4 linked regions of the Macaca mulatta genome follow. The protein of the gene in region 3 purifies or fractionates together with the protein of the main gene of each other region. This does not show direct contact. Links are inferred from orthologs where the notes say so. Each region holds a gene or a part of one and is shown on either strand. Other genes may lie near its edges.

Region 1 (4,268 bases), on a different chromosome or scaffold from region 3:
CCTACTGAGAGCTGTTGCAGCCCCTTGATCAACCCGGTTTAAAAGATCTTCTGCCTTTCCAGCAAGATCAACAAACCAAGACATGATGGCAGCAGGATAATCCTATTGGCAAACCTGTAAAAAGGACATAAAATGATCATCGTGGCATAATGGCAGAGTATGAAAAATGGTTAACACCAGACGCTGGAGTCAGGTAGTCCTGGGTTGAAATCCTAACCCTACCTTTTACTAGCTAGGTAACCTTGAGCAAACTACTTAAACGAGGCTGAGAAATCTTATGTAGAAAACGGGGGGGGAAAGTGTACTTACCTTATAGGATGGTGTTATGATGAAATAATATATAAAAGACACTTTGCAAAATGCTTGGCACATAATAAGCACTCATTTTAGTGGCTGCTATTATCCTTATTACAACTACCACTACTGTGTTTATTATTACTATTTCAATGAAGGGCAAATCTTAATATAGCAAAAGCATCTGTTATGGGCTGAACTGCATCCCTCCAAATTCCTTTATTTGAGTCCTAACCCCCAGACCTCAGAATGTGACTGTTTTTGGAGATAGGGTCTCTAAAGGGATAATTAAAATGAGTCATTAGGGTGGGCCCTAATCAAATATAACTGGCATGTCCTTCTAAGTGGAGGAAATTTCAACAGACAGACATACGGAAAGGACACAGGGAGAAGACAGACATCTGCAAGCAAAAGAAGCAGGCCTCAGAAGAAACCAACTCTGCCAATACCTTCATTTTGGACTTCAAGCCTTCAGAACCGAGAGAAAATAAATTTCTGTTGGCTCAGCCAATCAGTCTGTGGTACTTTGCTACAGCAGCAAATTAGCAACTAACCACTATGGCAAAATTCCAGTACAACCAAATAAAAATAAAATTCACTGAAGTTTGTTTTAAAGTGCTAAAACTTAAAAAAACTTTTCCATTAAATACAAAAGCCATCTTAATGTTAAACTGTGGCACTATTACATCTAATTTAGGTGTGCATATAATTTGTCTAAAGTACATGCTCAATAATCCAAATACTCAATACCTACCACGTGCACATTAAGTTCAGAATAAAAACCAAAACTGCATAACCACTCATTCCATACATATATTTGAGTACTTACTGTGTGACACCATACATCAAAGTAATGATGAAGATACAGATATAGAAGGGTTCTATAATAAAGTCCACAACCATTTCTAGAATGTGCACGTTGTTCCTTTTGCAAAGAACTCTTTCATGGTTAACTTTCTTGTTCTTGGTGTTTACTCAAATGTCATCTGCTTCAGAGTTCTCCTTTCCATCTAAGTTAGGTCAATCACTATCTGTACATATCCTATTCTTTTGCCCCACAGCCCTTCATGTGTTATAATTACGTTTTTTTTTTTAAACATGTCTCTTGTTCTTGGGGAAAGGGGGGCAGTGGTTGGATACAGATTATGTCTGTTTCGCTCACCAATGAATTCTCAGAGTCTAGCACACAGTAGGCACTCATAAATACTGCTGAGTGGAATTTTTTCATGACAGATGCTGTACACAAGTACACATGTATCTTTCATCATATGTAACTTTCACAGTCACATTATGAGGTAAACAGCAATATCCTTTTTTAAAAGCAAATGTGGAAAGGGTTGAGAAAGATCCCAGAGTTTAGATAGCAGCTCAGATACTCAAGTCGAAGTCACCCTAGTGCCAAACCCACCTTTTAATCTTTGCCTCCCTATACCATATAGCTCAAAACCTAAAAAACCTCCAGAAGAAACTCATCCTTTAAACCTGTTTTTTACACATGTGACTATTACATGCCTATGTCTTTCGGAGTTTATAAAAAAACCAAATGAAAATGGAGACGAAATGCTCTGTAACATACAGAACACCATACAGGCCAGGCACTGTGGCTCACCCTGTAATCCCAACACACTGGGACGCCAAGCGGGGAGGACCACTTGAGGCCAAGAGTTTGAGACCAGCCTGGGCAACGTGGCAAGACCCTGTCTCTACAAAAAAAGTAATAAAAAAATCAAAACACACTCAATTCTTTCTATCTTGCCTCTCATTTTAAAATTAATTGGGCTTTAAAACACACCATTAAATTGCTACTAATGTTGCAATTAATGTTGATTACCCAATTAAATACTTAGATGGGCCCTGGGCACTTGCTCCATTGACAAACATCTCAAAGACACAAAGGACTTCAGAGGCACCCTTCAATTCCCCAGGCACTGCCCAAGGGCAGAGAGAGTGCGTGGGATGGGGATGGATCCGCAGAGGGCGGTGGCAGGGCCTGCTTCGAAGGACAGGCGTCAGCACAGAGGGAGGGAGGCTGCAGGTCAGTCGTGTAGGCCCAGTCGGCAGTGCCCTGGGGTCTTCAGTCTGTGGATCTCAGGTAAGCGAGCAGAGACCCCCCACTCCGCTCCCCACCCATCTCGTTCCGTGCGGGAAGAACTGCCAGGTCAGGCAAAGGTCAGGAAGAAAGAATACAGAGGGCAGTAAACAACGTCGGCTGAAGCCCATGGGGTCTCTCCAGCTACCCTCCTCCGCCCCTAACACAGCGAAGACGAGCGCCACCCGAAAGAAAACCGAGAGACCAGGGTCTCCGCTGAAAGGACTGCGCCCCCGCTCCTAGGACCGTTAACACTCCCGTCTTGTCCAGTGGGCCCTCGCCTCCGCCTCACCTGAGGACTCCGGAGAGGTTGCACCACGGCCTAGTCGCCGTCCTGGGCCGCGCCCCCTCGGCAGCTGGCCCGGAGGGGGCCCGAGCAGACTAAACCTTCTCCCGGACCTGCCGCGGCCGTGCTACCGCTTCCGGGAGACGTGGAAGGGGCGCGAGGACCCCAAAACAGAGTGGCTTTCGAGATGCCTGCACGGCAGGGAGCCGAGAACAGCCACCTGCAGGCGATTCAGGCGGTGGCGCCGGTGGCTACGGGGTCCTTACGCATGGCCACGCCCCTTTCCGCCCGTGGCGAGACGAGGCGCGGCGCAGGGCCTGCGTGCGTGTGACGTAGCTGTCCTCCCGCGGTGGACGGCCCGCACGCGGCCGGCGCAACGTGAAAGGCTACACCCACAAAAGGCTAGGCCTCGTTGCGGGTCACGTGAGTTCTCCCTTTACTCACCATCTCCCGAAAGTTTTACAGAAGAGAAATGCCAGAGGCCCACGGCAGAAGGTGGAAATAAGAAACCATGATCCGGATTGCATGGCGCTTACTTTCTAGTGGCAGAGACAGATACTACATGACAGTGAATGGACAAGACAATTTCAGGGCGTTACCAGAGCTGTAACGACAAGAAAACGGGGAAAAGTGACTGGAAGCACGGGAGGTACTTTAAATCAGGTGGTCAGGGAAGGTCTCTCTGAGGAGATGATATTTGAGCTGAGACCCAAAGGATAGAAAAGGTAATACTGTGGTTATGTTATGCATGCAGTTCATTGACTATCTGAAATAAGTCTAAAATCCACATTCAATAGTTCAAAGACTCAGCACCCACTATGTGTACAGGATTGGGCTAATTTGGCCCTAATGACAAGCCTACAATACAGTTCCAAGTCTCACATCTTTGAGTTGAGGAAAGTAAGGCTCAAACAGTTTAAATAATTTGTCTAAGATCATCTGTCCTAATAAGGAGTCCACATTACTCCAAAGCCTGTGCCCCGTAGACTCAAAGTTTTATTGTCTCCAAATTAAATATTGGAAGTAATTACAGCTGCTGCTTTTCTTCCTCTCAGGTGAGGTTTAGCCCAGTACAGTGAAGAGAAAATTTTTCAGCACCAGGAGGTAATAATCATAATAATGGCATCTAACATTTATCAAACTTTTTATTAAGTGTAGAATACTGTGTTAAGCATTGCATGTGCCTCACCTCATTTTAATCTCACATTCATAAGGAAGGTACTATTATTCTCTGGTAGGTGGTATTGTTGTTCCTAACTATTAAGTTGCTTTTCCAGTTAAGGATTATACATCATCGCCTGTTGCCATGTAACTGCAGCGCGTCCTGTAGGAGGAGCATTCTTTCCATCCTCACTGATGTCAGGCTTGATCGTATGATCTTCTTTTGGCCAGTGAAATAGGAGCAGGAGGTCTTTCTGAGCAGAAGCATTAAGAGTTATTACGTATTTCAACCAGAGAAATGTTTCCTTTCATGAGAATAGTCTGTGTCAGAAGGGCTGCTCTTTCAGCCTTGGTCCTAGAAGAAAAAGGGGATGTGAAGCAGCTCACATCTGAGATTTCACATGAGTGAAATACCAACTTTTGCTGTTATAAGCCACT
Region 2 (4,034 bases), on a different chromosome or scaffold from region 3:
TCAATGCACCTATCCTTGGAGTTTTTGAGCCCCAACCCAGTTTTCTTCCTGTCCCATCCACCTCCTTGGGTTGATGAATGGGTCAAGTTGTCACAAAGAGAAAGCTCTGGGATGTCACACTGAAAAACGAAGACGTCTGGCCATAGTGTCTCTAACATCCCTCACACTTCCCACTCTCTGATTTTATGACAATTTCCGCTCCTTGCCCATTTCCACCTTTACTTGTCATTAAGGAGATTGACAACACCAATGACAAAAAAATCAGTCTGTGATTAGAAATGAGTGAATCAGAAAAAGGATCACACTTCTTAGGCAATTTGCACAGGTGGTGAGTGAACATTCACAGACCTTGGATGATTCGCTGATCTTGTATGGCCGAGACACTCGCGTCTGCCTGCTTCCCTCCATCATTACAGAGATCTCAGCCCTAGGAGAAGAACAGGATTTCTGAGCATGCAGTCATAACTCTAGCTCATTCATTAATTTCAGGCTCTGCTAGCAGATACCAAGGACGACAGTGAAAACAGTCACACGGAGGAAGGAGGGAGGGAGGACCGTGCACTACAAAGAACTCTTTTACACTGAGTTGAGAGCTCATCGGGTTGTTAGAATTGGACAGAACATTTAACTTGCATTCCTTTATCATCTAAAATCTGACATCATGTCATTTAGTTCACTTCCTACAAATAATTACCTTTTGGCTACACCGAGGTTATAATGATAAGTTATAATTTCGGAGCCCAGACTACAGTCCTAGAACCAAACTAAGGGACTTACATGTGCCATCTCATTTAACCCCCACAAAGATTACACTTGGCCAGGCTGATATCGCTTATCCCATTTCACACATGAGGATACTGATCTCATGGTCACAAAGCTAGTAAGTGGCTGAGAATCACACCTGGGTCTGTCCAGCTTCAAAACCTGGATCCATCACCATGACACGATGCTGAATGAGGCCCGGGGTTCGAGAGCATCACACTTTGAAAATATGATACAGGTGAGGATGTGGTACAGTGATGACTACCATGTACACAGTACATTCTAGACACACTGTCCCCAAGTGCTTCTCTGTGGCTTCACTCACTTAGTCCCCATTGCAACCCCATGAGGCCAGCACTGTGACTGGAGGATGCTGACAGCAGTGAGGTGAAATAACCTGCCCCGTGTCACACAGCTGGGAACTGGCAGAATTGGGATTCCAGGTCAGGGAAAAGTCCATGCTCTTAACTCTTAGGCTGCACTGCCTGGCTCTTGGAGGGGGGATCACTACAGGCAGAGTTAGGCTTTGGTGTGGCGGGAGCGGGGGTGGGGGAGGGTGTGGGGGGGCGGTCAAGTGCTTCAAGGATGGAGGGGAACACAGAGAAGGGACTTGGCCAACTAATATTAGTACAAGTCACACACTGAGACTAAGGTTTTAAAGAGGATTTTCCCCCCTGCTATTTGAGTTCAGGAGAAGAGTTTGTTACCTATTGAACACACTGTCTTTACTAATAAAGAACAATGTGACAAGAAGTCAGCACTGTTCTTAGATAATTGGGGACACAGGGAGGCCACTCCAGTGTTCCCATGGAAGGAATGAATTCGGGCACAGTCCGTCCTGTGCAACTCCCCTAGGGAGAGAAGGGACAACGAGATTCCTCTTGACAAACTAGAAACTTTGTGACAACGACAAGCTGTTCCCATTCCCGGCCCTCCTGACTACCCCTAGGATGCTGGAGAGCACAGAGAGGGAAGAGAAGAAACCCAGCTTTCGGGCAGTGCCCACCGCGGACCCAACTTCATTCCACCTTCACCCTTTGAGACAGGTGCCACCGTCGTTCCCACAGTGAGACCCGGCGCTCGGGTGCCTCGGGGGGGGGTTGCCCAAGGTCACAGAGCAGCAAGCAGCAGGTGCCTCTCTCTCCACCGCCCCAGGCAGCCTGCCCGGGCTCAGCCAGGCCCTCTAACGCTCAACGCTTTCTTTTCTAGGCCAAGATACCTAGAGAGTTCCCGGGGCCGGAGGCTCCCTGCTGTCTCCTGCAAGTGCGTGGGGGTGCGGGCTGACTTCCACGCGTGTTGGATGTCAGCGGCCTCCGACGCTTTTTGGAAGCAGGTGAAGGGTCAAGGCCACCCACACACACAGTGACAATCCCAAGTCACTGGAAAAGGTCTTCCAGTAAACATGGGAACGCAGGCCCCGTCCGGACGGGGGGGCTCCCAGGGAGCCTCCTTCCCAAGCTCCCTCCCGACCTCAGCGTTGGAGAAAGCGACGCTGCTGACACCGGCTCGCCCGCGGGGTCTCCGGGGACGCCGCTGTCGTTCACTCGGACCCCGCAGCCCAGGCGGAACTCAGCTCAACGGCCGCCCAGGCAGGCTCCAGCCGGAGGCGAGGAGGCGGAGGCGGAGTCGGGACCGCCCGGGGCGGGGGCCACTCACCTGCCACGCGCGGGGCGGAACGCACAGGCCGCACCTGTGTCACCTGCGGGGGCGGCGGCCCCTCCCCTGGCCTCTTCCCCCAGTCGCGCCGCCCCACTCGCCCACCCGCCCGCCCCGGGCACCAAGGGGCGCAGGGGGCTCGCGGCTCGCTGGGGCCGGGGACCCTTCCGATCTCCGCCCGCCCCCCGCCCCTGGCGGGCGCGGCTTCCCGGCGGTCCCGGGCTGAAGGGTGGGCGCGCGCGTAGGCCCACCTGGCAGGACGCGCTACGATCGCGGCGGGGACAGCCCCGGCGGCGGGGCCGGGCGGTCGGGGCTGCGGGGCCCTGGTTCAGGAGCCCCCCGGCCGGCCCGCTGCGCAGCCATGGCTCCGCCAGGAAGTGCGAGGCCGAGGGCGGAGGCGGCGCGCGTGGCCAATGGCGGCGGCCGCGGGGAGGCGGGGCCGGGCGGCGCGGGGCGGGGCCTGCGGCCGAGGGCGGGGCGCGGGGGCCGTGGGGTGAGCTCGCGGGGTGGACGCCCTCCTCGTCCGCGCTCCGGGGATCCCCGGTGTCTACCCCACCACGACGCCCGATTCCGTCCCTTCAAGGGCAGGCCGCAGCCCCGCCGCGCGAAATGCGCCCTGGTGCCACCCACCGTTACGGACGCAGGGCCACGGCGGGGACGGGACACGCAGGGTCCCGGGCCTCGAGGCACTGACGCGTGCGCTGGGACCTCCTTGCTGGTCCGGAGTCGCCGGGACGGGCACCGCGCCTCTCGCCTCCTTCCGGGCTGAGCTGGAGCGTCCCTGTGGCCACCCTGCGGGGAGGCCTTTGCTGACCACTCTGCTTAAAGTCACATCCCCCCTTTCTCTCCACCCCAACTTCCAACCCCACGCTTCACTTGAGCTCTTATCAGCGTCTGATATTCCAAAGAATGTACTGGTTTATTCGGTTTATTGTCTCTCCTTCCTACCAGAAACCCTCCAGGGCAGGGTTTACTGTCAGTTCTATTCCTGACTGGACCCCCCAGACTGGCACACAGTAGGTGCTCAGTAAATACGTGTGGAATGAATGAACGTAACCTTCATCGATCAATCTATCGTCACACTTCGCTCATGCTACAGCGAGATAACCCTTGAGGATGTAATACTTAGAGAAAGAAGCCCCACACGAAAGACCACACATTGCATGATTCCGTGCATGTGAAATATCCAGAAGAAGCCAATCCATAGAGACAGAAAGTAGATGAGTGGTTGCCAGGGGCGGGGAGTTGCTGGAGTGGGAAATGGCTGCTGAAGGATCAGCAATTTCTTTTGTGTAGTACTCACTATAGCCTCCACCTCCCAGGCTCAAGTGATCCTCCTGCCTCAGTCTCTCATGCAGCTGGGATCACAGGTGCCGGCTGCCACAATCGGCTATTTTTTTTTCTTTGATTTTTATAGAGACAGGGTTTCAGTTTGTTGTCCGAGCTGGTCTTGAACCCCTAGGCGCAAGTGATCCTCCTCCCTCGGTCTCCCAAAGTGCTGGGATGACATGTGTGAGCCAGCACACCCAGCCCACTTACAGGATCTTTGTTTTTTAGTTATTGATTTTATTTATTTATTTTTTGAGACAGAGTCTCTCTATCACCCAGGCTGGAGT
Region 3 (4,169 bases):
GTAAGGAAGGCATCTCATCTGATTATTGGCATCTCTCATAACTGTTATCCAGTTTTAAGATTCTGTATTATTTCATATTTATTCAGTGATAGAGTACTTATCTCCTAGAAACATATAAAAATGCTTTTATTTATTCCATTAAAATATTATATCTTGAGTTAACTATATTAGAATCATAAAATAATTTTTCAATCAAGTATATAATGTGCAATCAGAAAGAAAAAAGCTTATCAACAGTAAAGTATTATCTTTCTTTAAAAATCCTATTCATTCCTGTCATCCTTAAAAAAAAAAAAAAGACTGAGAAAGCTTTATTTGTAGAAAAATGGTTAATAAATTCTGTTTTAAATTTGTTGGGATATGTTTTACTCCAACAAATACACATGGATCATTGATGATTCCATGAAAAGGCAACAATCCACAAAAATAAAATCACCAGATTTTGATGGTCGAATATCTTGAATTTAATATGAAAGAAAAAAATACATACTGTTTATTAGTCCAAACTGCACCATGCTGTAAGCTCCCTGCTGTTTTGCAGACCTTGGTCAAAGCGAAACATTTCACAGGGGTTCGAGCTGTGAGAAACATCCCGTCTAACCAACTGTCCACAAGGGGGACAAAGGCCCAACTAAAGAGACATCCCTATCATATCTTATTGGACAAAGGTCCAAGGAACACCCTGAACACCAGAACGACATTCCGCCGGAACAAGGGCCAGAACCGCCTCTTCATGGAAGCATCTTATCAATATCCCGCCGGGCAGCAAGCCATACTGCTCAGATCCCTTCTGCCCATACCTTTAAATTGACCCAGCCTGTAAGTGGCAGCGGGCTCTGGCATTAGCCGGGTCCCCCACTTCTGTAGGTTTTATGCTGGACAGAAAGCCTGAATTTGCTGTTGAGCCGCCTTCTTTCTGTGTGTGTGTGTGTGTGTGTGTGTGTGTGTGTGTGTGTGTGTGTGTGTGTCTTTCTTTAACCCTCGCCTTCCCTTCAAAACCTGACACTGTTCAAAAAAAATTTAGTCCATCATTAAGCATTTATTAAGAACGTACAAGTCAAGCCCAGTACTAGGTGCCTAAGACATAAGTAGGTCTGTATTTCAGCACTGTTCTTGCAGAAATGAGACTGGGTAGGTGAGGGGCTTGAAGAGGGTTGTGTCTGCAGAGAATAATTCCTCAAAGCAAACACTTTGTTGCTGGTGTCGCGGAAAAGCAATCAGGCATTGACAGGTAGAAAATAGCTTTTACAGGATGGGCTATGAGGAGACCAAAGGCAGCATGTAAAGCAAATCCTTCATTTTTCCCATACGTCTTAAGTAGTGAACTGCAAGGATGGTGCAGACTAAGATTGGGTCTACCTTTAAGATCTGGAGGGGAAAATGGCAAGACCAGAAGAAACGGTCGCAGACTCATTTGCATAAGCACCCAAACATTGCTTACGTCACTGCGCCGGAGTCCGGACCCCGCCCCGTCTTACTCCAGCCTTTCCCAGCTAGGGAGGAGGATGGAAAGGGAAAGCGGGAGGATGGAAAGGGAAAGCGGGAGGATGGAGAGCGCGAGCCTCGGGGCTTTGCTTTCCTCAAATGCATATCAAATGCTGCTTCTCAGCTCAGGGAAAATAATTCCCGCTCCCGCAGCCTGTGCCACTGGGTGGGTCATGCCGGCCCCCGAACGCCTCGGGCGTCTTGATTCATTCTTATGTATCACGCTGGTGCGCTACGTTAGAGTGCAAGATTTTCCCTGTACTCAATACCGTCTTCTTCCCAGTCACACACAGAACAGCCTAGTGAAAGAAAGGTAGAAACGATCTGGGTTTCTAACTGATTCCCATCTTCTTACAATCCCAGCAGCACCACCCTCACCGCCACACTCTCAAATTCCAGGTGCGCAGAAACACAGGAGCCGTGACTTCTCCAGCAGCCACGTGCCTTTCGCACGGCGAAAGGCCCCCTTTCGGGCCATTTATCACAGGATACCTCAAGCAAAAGGGAACTGTGGTCACGTGAAAACACTCTGTCCTCGGTAGTCGCCTTCAGCCTTTGCAAAAGCGAACGGAAGCGAACGAGGAATAAAGCTCTCTGCTCTCCCCGCCCCATCGCCCACCTGCACGAGGTTTAGCTTCCAATTCACCTCGCGCCTCTCTCTGCCCCGACCCTCCCAACTTTCCTCTTGGACTTCCCCGTGTTGGACCCCACCCTTCAACCAACCCCGACTTGACTTGGAAACAAGTAGGTCTCTGGGGATGCTGTGGGCAATTTCCACGACGGGAAGGAAGGATGGCGGCACGTTTCAACCCATGTGCTTCCCCTTACATGTGCAGCCTGTCGCCCCCCACCCTGATTGTGCAGAGGTGCAGAGTTAGAAGGTTGCCCGCCCAGCCCAGCTTCTCCCTCCCAGGGCTTTTGAGCTGCCCTCCCTCCTCCCACCCCAAGACGCAGCGAGTCCTTCCCGGCATCCGTCTGCCAATTCGCTCCCTGTGCTGGTGCCCAGGCTCCTGGGTGGCTAATGGCGAGCCCCACCTCATCCCCAGTTGTGCCCTTAGCGTAGGCGCTTGCCATTACCGTCAGTGTGTCTTGACCAAGCGCCTTTTGCTGCTTCCACGTCCCGGCAGGAGCAGCAGCAGTCGCGAAAGGGTAGGGTCCAGGTGGCTGTGACGGAGGCCGCAGAGGAGCTGTTTTCAGAGAAGCAGCTTCTTGTCTAGGATGGGACCAGGAGCTGGGTTTTGGGGGTTGCTGCCCTGCAGGCTGGCAAGGAGAGACTCGTGAGCGCCTGTGTGTCTGCCAGGGAAACAGCACGGGATACAGGCGCGCGGGTGCGGGTGCGCGTGTGCATGCGTATGTGTGTGCGCGCGCGCGTGTGTGTGTATGTGTGAGGGTGTGACGGAGGCGCCCACGTGCCCGGCCCGCCCGTGTTGCGGGCGCCTACAGGCTGCAGGGGAGAAGGGTAAGCTGTGGGCGGCGGCGGGGCGCGGAGGGGTAGCCAGGAGAGCCGGCTGAGCTCCGCACTTCCCCGCCCCAAAACCCACTGATGCAACGGCCACTGCGGCTGCCCAGCGGCGTCTTCCCAGAGCCCAGGGCTGTGCCCGCCCGATGCGGGATACAACTGAGGAAGCCCGCTCCAAAGCAAAACAAAACAAATTCCTCCAGCCATCCCGTCTTTCTCCAACCCACTCAAACGAAAGAATGGACACCAGTTACCCGCCCCTGACTTTTGCCTCAGTGAGAATAATAATAGGCATGGTGCTACCTGGCACCATGTGAATATTCTCTAAGAGTCAGTAATGGGACTAGAAAAAAATGGGTGACCCGAAGAACCCTTTTCCCTACCTATCTCCACAAGCCGGCCATTTCCATCTCTTGCGAAAGAAAAAGCCTCTGGGCATTGGCTTCTCCGTCAGGCGGTGGCCTGATAGCGCTCAGTGATTCCCTCCAGGTTATGAAAGGCCGTTTTAGAAAGCTGGTCCTCCCTCACCTATGGTGTGTTGGTGCCTCAGCAGCCGACTCTTTTCCAAGGGGTCTCATTAGAAGATGAAGCCTGGCTTACCTCTGCTGACAATCAAGGCATGATCGTAATTAAGCCACGTGGAGAATTCCTAAAATATACATCTCTGAACACAAAGCTTAGCCTGCTTTTGAAAATGGCTGAACTGTCCCCTAAACAGTGCATATGCTCTAGGGATGAAATTTTCCGTCCTTGAAACATTCAAAATTTAAAAGAAATGCAAAATGAACCTAGAACGTAGGTAAAAGGTTAAGTAACTTAGCAAAGTACATTTTTCACTTCCAGATTATTAATATTACTCTTAAAAATACTTTTGTGCACTTTGAGGCCTTTTAACAATCCCTTAGATTTTTACAGTTCGCAACCAATTAAGATTGAATTAAATAAAAAAGGCCATTGCAGACAGGTTTTTCATGCAGTGAAAAATCTCTTGGAAAGAAATCACAAGACCTAAATTTCAGGTCAGAACATTGCTACTAATCCTTAGCTTTTAAAGCAGCCAAGAGAGCTTTTTCTCAGACTCTCTTCCAATCCCAACTTTGAAAAATTAAAAGTTAAGAAATTAAATTAGATTTGATTCCCTGATACCCCTCCCCTGCCATAAGTAAATAAATGCTCTTTGGTAGATGCACCACAGGAAAAAATAAAAACAGTCAAAATAAACCTT
Region 4 (4,207 bases), on a different chromosome or scaffold from region 3:
GTCAGTAAGAGTTCAAAACAGAAATAGCTCCCAAGTAGAAACAATAAAACTTTAAAAGCATGAGCACTGAGAATGAAGAATCACATACAACTTCAAAGACTAGGCAAAGAAATAGCCACAAACGAGAGTCTAGGGCAATACAGGAGGCTAGCAGGTACAAGACAGTGTCCAGTGGGTTAGAGATGTATTCCCCAATTAGCTGAGGAAGAAGAGCAGATAAAGCCACATCCTAAGGGCAGAGAGAAAATAAGGTCACAAAAATGGGAACCAAACTTATAAGAAGGCACTGTGGAATGCTAGAATCTCAGTAATCATATTATTCTTTTAATAGCAACAAACATTCATATAGTCGATGCAGGCAGCCTTCTAAGGTGCTTGATACATTTTAACTTATTTGAACAACCCTGTGGAAATAGGAGTTATTGTTACTCCTATTTTATAGATAAAGAAAATGAGGCACAAGAGTACATGACCTCCTTAAGGTCACATTTTGAGAAACAGAGCTACAATTTTGGTACCAAATCTAAGCAAACCTGTATCCAGGATCTCTACTCCTAACCACTAGGCTGTACTCAGTTAAGACTCCTGTTTCTGGCCAGGCGTGGGGCTCACACCTGTAATCCCAGCACTTTGGGGGGCAAAGGCAGGAAGATTGCTTGAGGCCAGGAGATCAAGACCAGCCAGGCCAAGATAGCAAGACGCTGTCTCTTATGTAAAAAAAAAGTATATGTAACATATAAATATATATATTTTTGAAACAAGTAGATATAAATTATATACATACAATTTTTTTTTAAAAAAAGACTCCTGCTTCTAACAGTTAATTCAAACAAACCACTGATCTCTGACTCTCAGTTTCCCTCTCTGTAAAAGGGGGATAGCACTTGCCCTCCCTACCCTACCCAGCCTTTTGACACTTAATAAAACCCTAAGAGTAAGCTGCAGTTGTTCTCTACCAGGCCCACTTCCATCTAACATTTTTCTTTGCAGAATTTGGAAACAGGAGGGTAGGGAGACCTGAGGTCAAAGAATATATACCTTTTCAATGGCATTTCAAGTGCTGTTAGTTAGATAAAATTCCATGACTCCACTAAAAGAAAATACGATTTCTTTCTGCCATCCAGGAATTGGTCTCTTATCTTGGGCATAAAGAAGAACACGATGCCTTTCTGAACAGGATGCCTGAGTACACAAAAGGACCTCTGAAACCTGGGGCTGTAAAAACAAGCGGGTGAAGGGGAAACTGCACTGCATAATGGATATAAGCAAATCCTCTGATACAAAAAGTTGGTCGCATTGTTATTATAATCAGTAAAATAATAACGATGCTCAGGGAATGGAGTGATTTTTGCTTCCGACCAGAGGAACAATAGTGGTCCAGTGGTTTCAGCCCAAATCCCTCCAGGTCCGCAAAAGCCGCCGAGATGCTGACTTTCGCACTGCCGCGGGCAAGGAACAGAAATGCACGCACGCATGCACACGCGCGCACACACACCCCTGATCCGCGACCACTGACCTTGAGAGCTGGACCCCAGGGTTCTGAGCCCGCAGTGGCGTGGGGCTGGCTGCATCCCTCCCGGCACTCACCTCTAAAGTTTTCACCAGGATCTTCATGTAGATCTCGGAGATGCCCAGAGACACTCCGAAGACTGAAGGCAGAAGGATGAAGCCGAGAACCAGCGTCAGCCAGGTGGAAAGGATCTTCCCGGCCAGCTCTGCGCCCTCCATGACTCGGCGCACCCACTCGGGAGAAGTCCGCAGTGGAGGGCCGAGCGCCACAGCAGTCCCTGTCCCCAGGCAGTCCCGCGGGAGCTCCAGGAGCAGAGCGCCGAGCCCGGCACTCACCTCTGCGAGGGGAAGAGAGGAAGGAAAAAAACTTTCAGAATTACGGCAATATCCTTCCTTCCTCCCCGGGCTCCTCCTCGCCCCTGTCAGTTAACTCCTTCTCCGCCGGCGGCCCAGGTCTGGGCTGAAGCCACCGCGGCGTGCGCAGACCTGGGTAGCGCGAGCCAGTGGTTGGAGCTGCGGGTAAGCGGAGGGACACCGCAGCGCGGCAGAGCGCGCGAGCGCAGCCGGGAACGCGCCCCGCCCGGTGCCTGAGTTCCTCTGGGTGGTGATTGCGACAACTCAGCAGATGACTCACAGAGGCCCTCCCCGAGCCCGGTTCCCTGCGGGACCACCGCACTTTGGCACACCGGCAGGGCAGCGGGCGGAGCTCGCACCGGGCCGCGGGCTGTGCTGGAGGCTGGCTGCGCTCGGGCGTCCAGAGCCCTATTTCTGCGCGCTGCCCTCGCCCCACCTCCTCCGTCACCCAACGGGGGAGCTCCCTGGCAGAACTTAGCCCAGGAGCGCCGCAGCCTCCTGGGCGGTCTCAGTTTTTCCCTGCGCCCCGCCTCCCCCAGCACTCAGCAAAGGTCCTTTCAGGAGGAGAGTTTTCATCTGAAAAATGTTAATATTTTCTTCACCCGCAGAATGAACTGCTGACGTTTCTGGGACGCTTGAGGTCTTGTTTGTGTGGGTGTAAAACGAACTCTTGGGAAGGACTTCCAAGGACAGGAAAATGCAGAGCACACCAGGTAGCCGTGTACGCCGCTTCAGGCTCCCACACCTCCTTCCCCGCATGGCCTACAGCTGTGGGGCTCAATCTTGCTTATCCCGAGACTAGGAAGCTCTGTCCACGTGTCGCCTAACCCATTGAGCCGCCATCTCCCTAGCACTGAAACCTATCTGTCACTCCCTTCCTGGAGAAGATTCCAACCACACCCTCCCCTACCATTCAGCTAATACTCTCCGCGCTTAGAGGTAGCAGAAATGCCAGGCCGGCGCAAGCCTTCATTCACCAAGCTGACACGTGTCTCCTGGGTGTTCAGGCTCCGCGCTTCTACCGTGCCAGCCCTTATCAGAGCAACGAAGGGCAAAACCCTGTATGTTATTTACTCCATTGCAGTTCTCTTAGAGACCTGAACTATTTTAAGGAATGAGCAGAAGGGATTTTGAGAAGGGATTTTCCAGATTGCCGCTGAATTCGACCAAAATATCTTACAGGTACTTTTCAGGTGTTGTTTCAAGCTGGAAAAACTGGGAGGGCCAGCAAACTGAATTGAAACAGCGTTGATAGCAAATATTGCAGAGAAAATGGTCCCTGCCCAGGGTGTGGAGGAAGTGGGGAGGCAAGAAAGTGAGAAGACCCTCTGTAAATAATGTAGATGTCTGCCTTATGTACTTACTGCCAGGTAACTGTCACAAGCCCCCTCCCGCACTAAGAACGGAAAAAATTATAAGTTGATGATTAAAACCAGGTTATGGACCGGGCGCGGTGGATCACGCCTGTAATCCCAGCACTCTGGGAGGCGAGGTGGGCAGATCACCTGAGGTCAGGAGTTCAAGACCAGCCTGGCCAACATGGCGAAACCCCCATCTCTAGTAAAAATACAAAAAAAATTAGCCCCGCGTGGTGTCGCACGCCTGTAGTCCCAGCTACTCAAGAGGATGAGGCAGGAGAATCACTTGAACCTGGGAGGCGGAGGTTGCAGTGAGCCAAAATCGTGCCACTGCACTCCAGCCTAGGAGACAGAGCGAGACTCCGTCTCTTTTTTTTTTTTTTTTTTTTTTTGTTTGAGACGGAGTCTCGCTCTGTAGCCCAGGCTGGAGTGCAGTGGCCGGATCTCAGCTCACTGCAAGCTCCGCCTCCCGGGTTTACGCCATTCTCCTGCCTCAGCCTCCCGAGTAGCTGGGACTACAGGCGCCCGCCACCTCGCCCGGCTAGTTTTTTGTATTTTTTTTAGTAGATACTGGGTTTCACCGTGTTGGCCAGGATGGTCTCGATCTCCTGACCTCGTGATCCGCCCGTCTCGGCCTCCCAAAGTGCTGGGATTACAGGCTTGAGCCACCGCGCCTGGTCGACTCCGTCTCAAAAAACAAAAACGAAACAAAGAAACAGATTATGAATGAAGACGTGTTAGGAGCTTGGTTTCTCAAAATTAAACCTCTGTATGGGTTGGCTAGTTTAGAAAAACACGGAAAACACAACTACCGAAAGCTGCCCAAAGTCCTTGCTTCCAAAAACTATATATATTTAGTGCAAAACTCCAAAGATTATATTGGCATATTTAATACCATATGTTCAGGCAAAACTCTTATTTTCCTTTTATTCCTCAAACCAAGATGACTAAGGAAGGCTGAATCCTTGTACCAAAGTTTACCCTAC

What was found.
Region 1: the proteins of SLC6A15 (region 3) and GOLGA5 purify together in Homo sapiens (co-immunoprecipitation; 3 studies listed by BioGRID and IntAct, counting the BioPlex papers as one, with this or other methods). This does not show direct contact. The link is inferred for Macaca mulatta from reciprocal best matches to the Homo sapiens genes SLC6A15 and GOLGA5.
Region 2: the proteins of SLC6A15 (region 3) and KLHL36 purify together in Homo sapiens (co-immunoprecipitation; 3 studies listed by BioGRID and IntAct, counting the BioPlex papers as one, with this or other methods). This does not show direct contact. The link is inferred for Macaca mulatta from reciprocal best matches to the Homo sapiens genes SLC6A15 and KLHL36.
Region 4: the proteins of SLC6A15 (region 3) and GPAT3 purify together in Homo sapiens (co-immunoprecipitation; 3 studies listed by BioGRID and IntAct, counting the BioPlex papers as one, with this or other methods). This does not show direct contact. The link is inferred for Macaca mulatta from reciprocal best matches to the Homo sapiens genes SLC6A15 and GPAT3.

What each region holds. Positions count from the first base shown.
Region 1 is NC_133412.1:166,047,677-166,051,944, reverse strand, and holds the start of GOLGA5 (golgin subfamily A member 5), read right to left. Parts: upstream 2,806-4,268; 5' UTR 2,665-2,805; intron 115-2,664; 5' UTR 85-114; coding exon 1-84. UniProt on the Homo sapiens protein: Involved in maintaining Golgi structure. Stimulates the formation of Golgi stacks and ribbons. Involved in intra-Golgi retrograde transport.
Region 2 is NC_133425.1:80,009,917-80,013,950, reverse strand, and holds the start of KLHL36 (kelch-like protein 36), read right to left. Parts: upstream 2,806-4,034; 5' UTR 2,670-2,805; intron 2,484-2,669; exon of another isoform or gene 2,419-2,483; intron 428-2,418; 5' UTR 412-427; coding exon 349-411; exon of another isoform or gene 341-348; coding exon of another isoform or gene 324-340; intron 1-323.
Region 3 is NC_133416.1:92,090,431-92,094,599, forward strand, and holds the start of SLC6A15 (sodium-dependent neutral amino acid transporter B(0)AT2), read right to left. Parts: upstream 2,804-4,169; 5' UTR 2,563-2,803; intron 1-2,562.
Region 4 is NC_133410.1:50,209,350-50,213,556, forward strand, and holds the start of GPAT3 (glycerol-3-phosphate acyltransferase 3), read right to left. Parts: upstream 2,806-4,207; 5' UTR 2,623-2,805; coding exon 2,466-2,622; intron 2,409-2,465; exon of another isoform or gene 1,996-2,408; intron 1,848-1,995; coding exon 1,588-1,847; intron 1-1,587. UniProt on the Homo sapiens protein: Converts glycerol-3-phosphate to 1-acyl-sn-glycerol-3-phosphate (lysophosphatidic acid or LPA) by incorporating an acyl moiety at the sn-1 position of the glycerol backbone.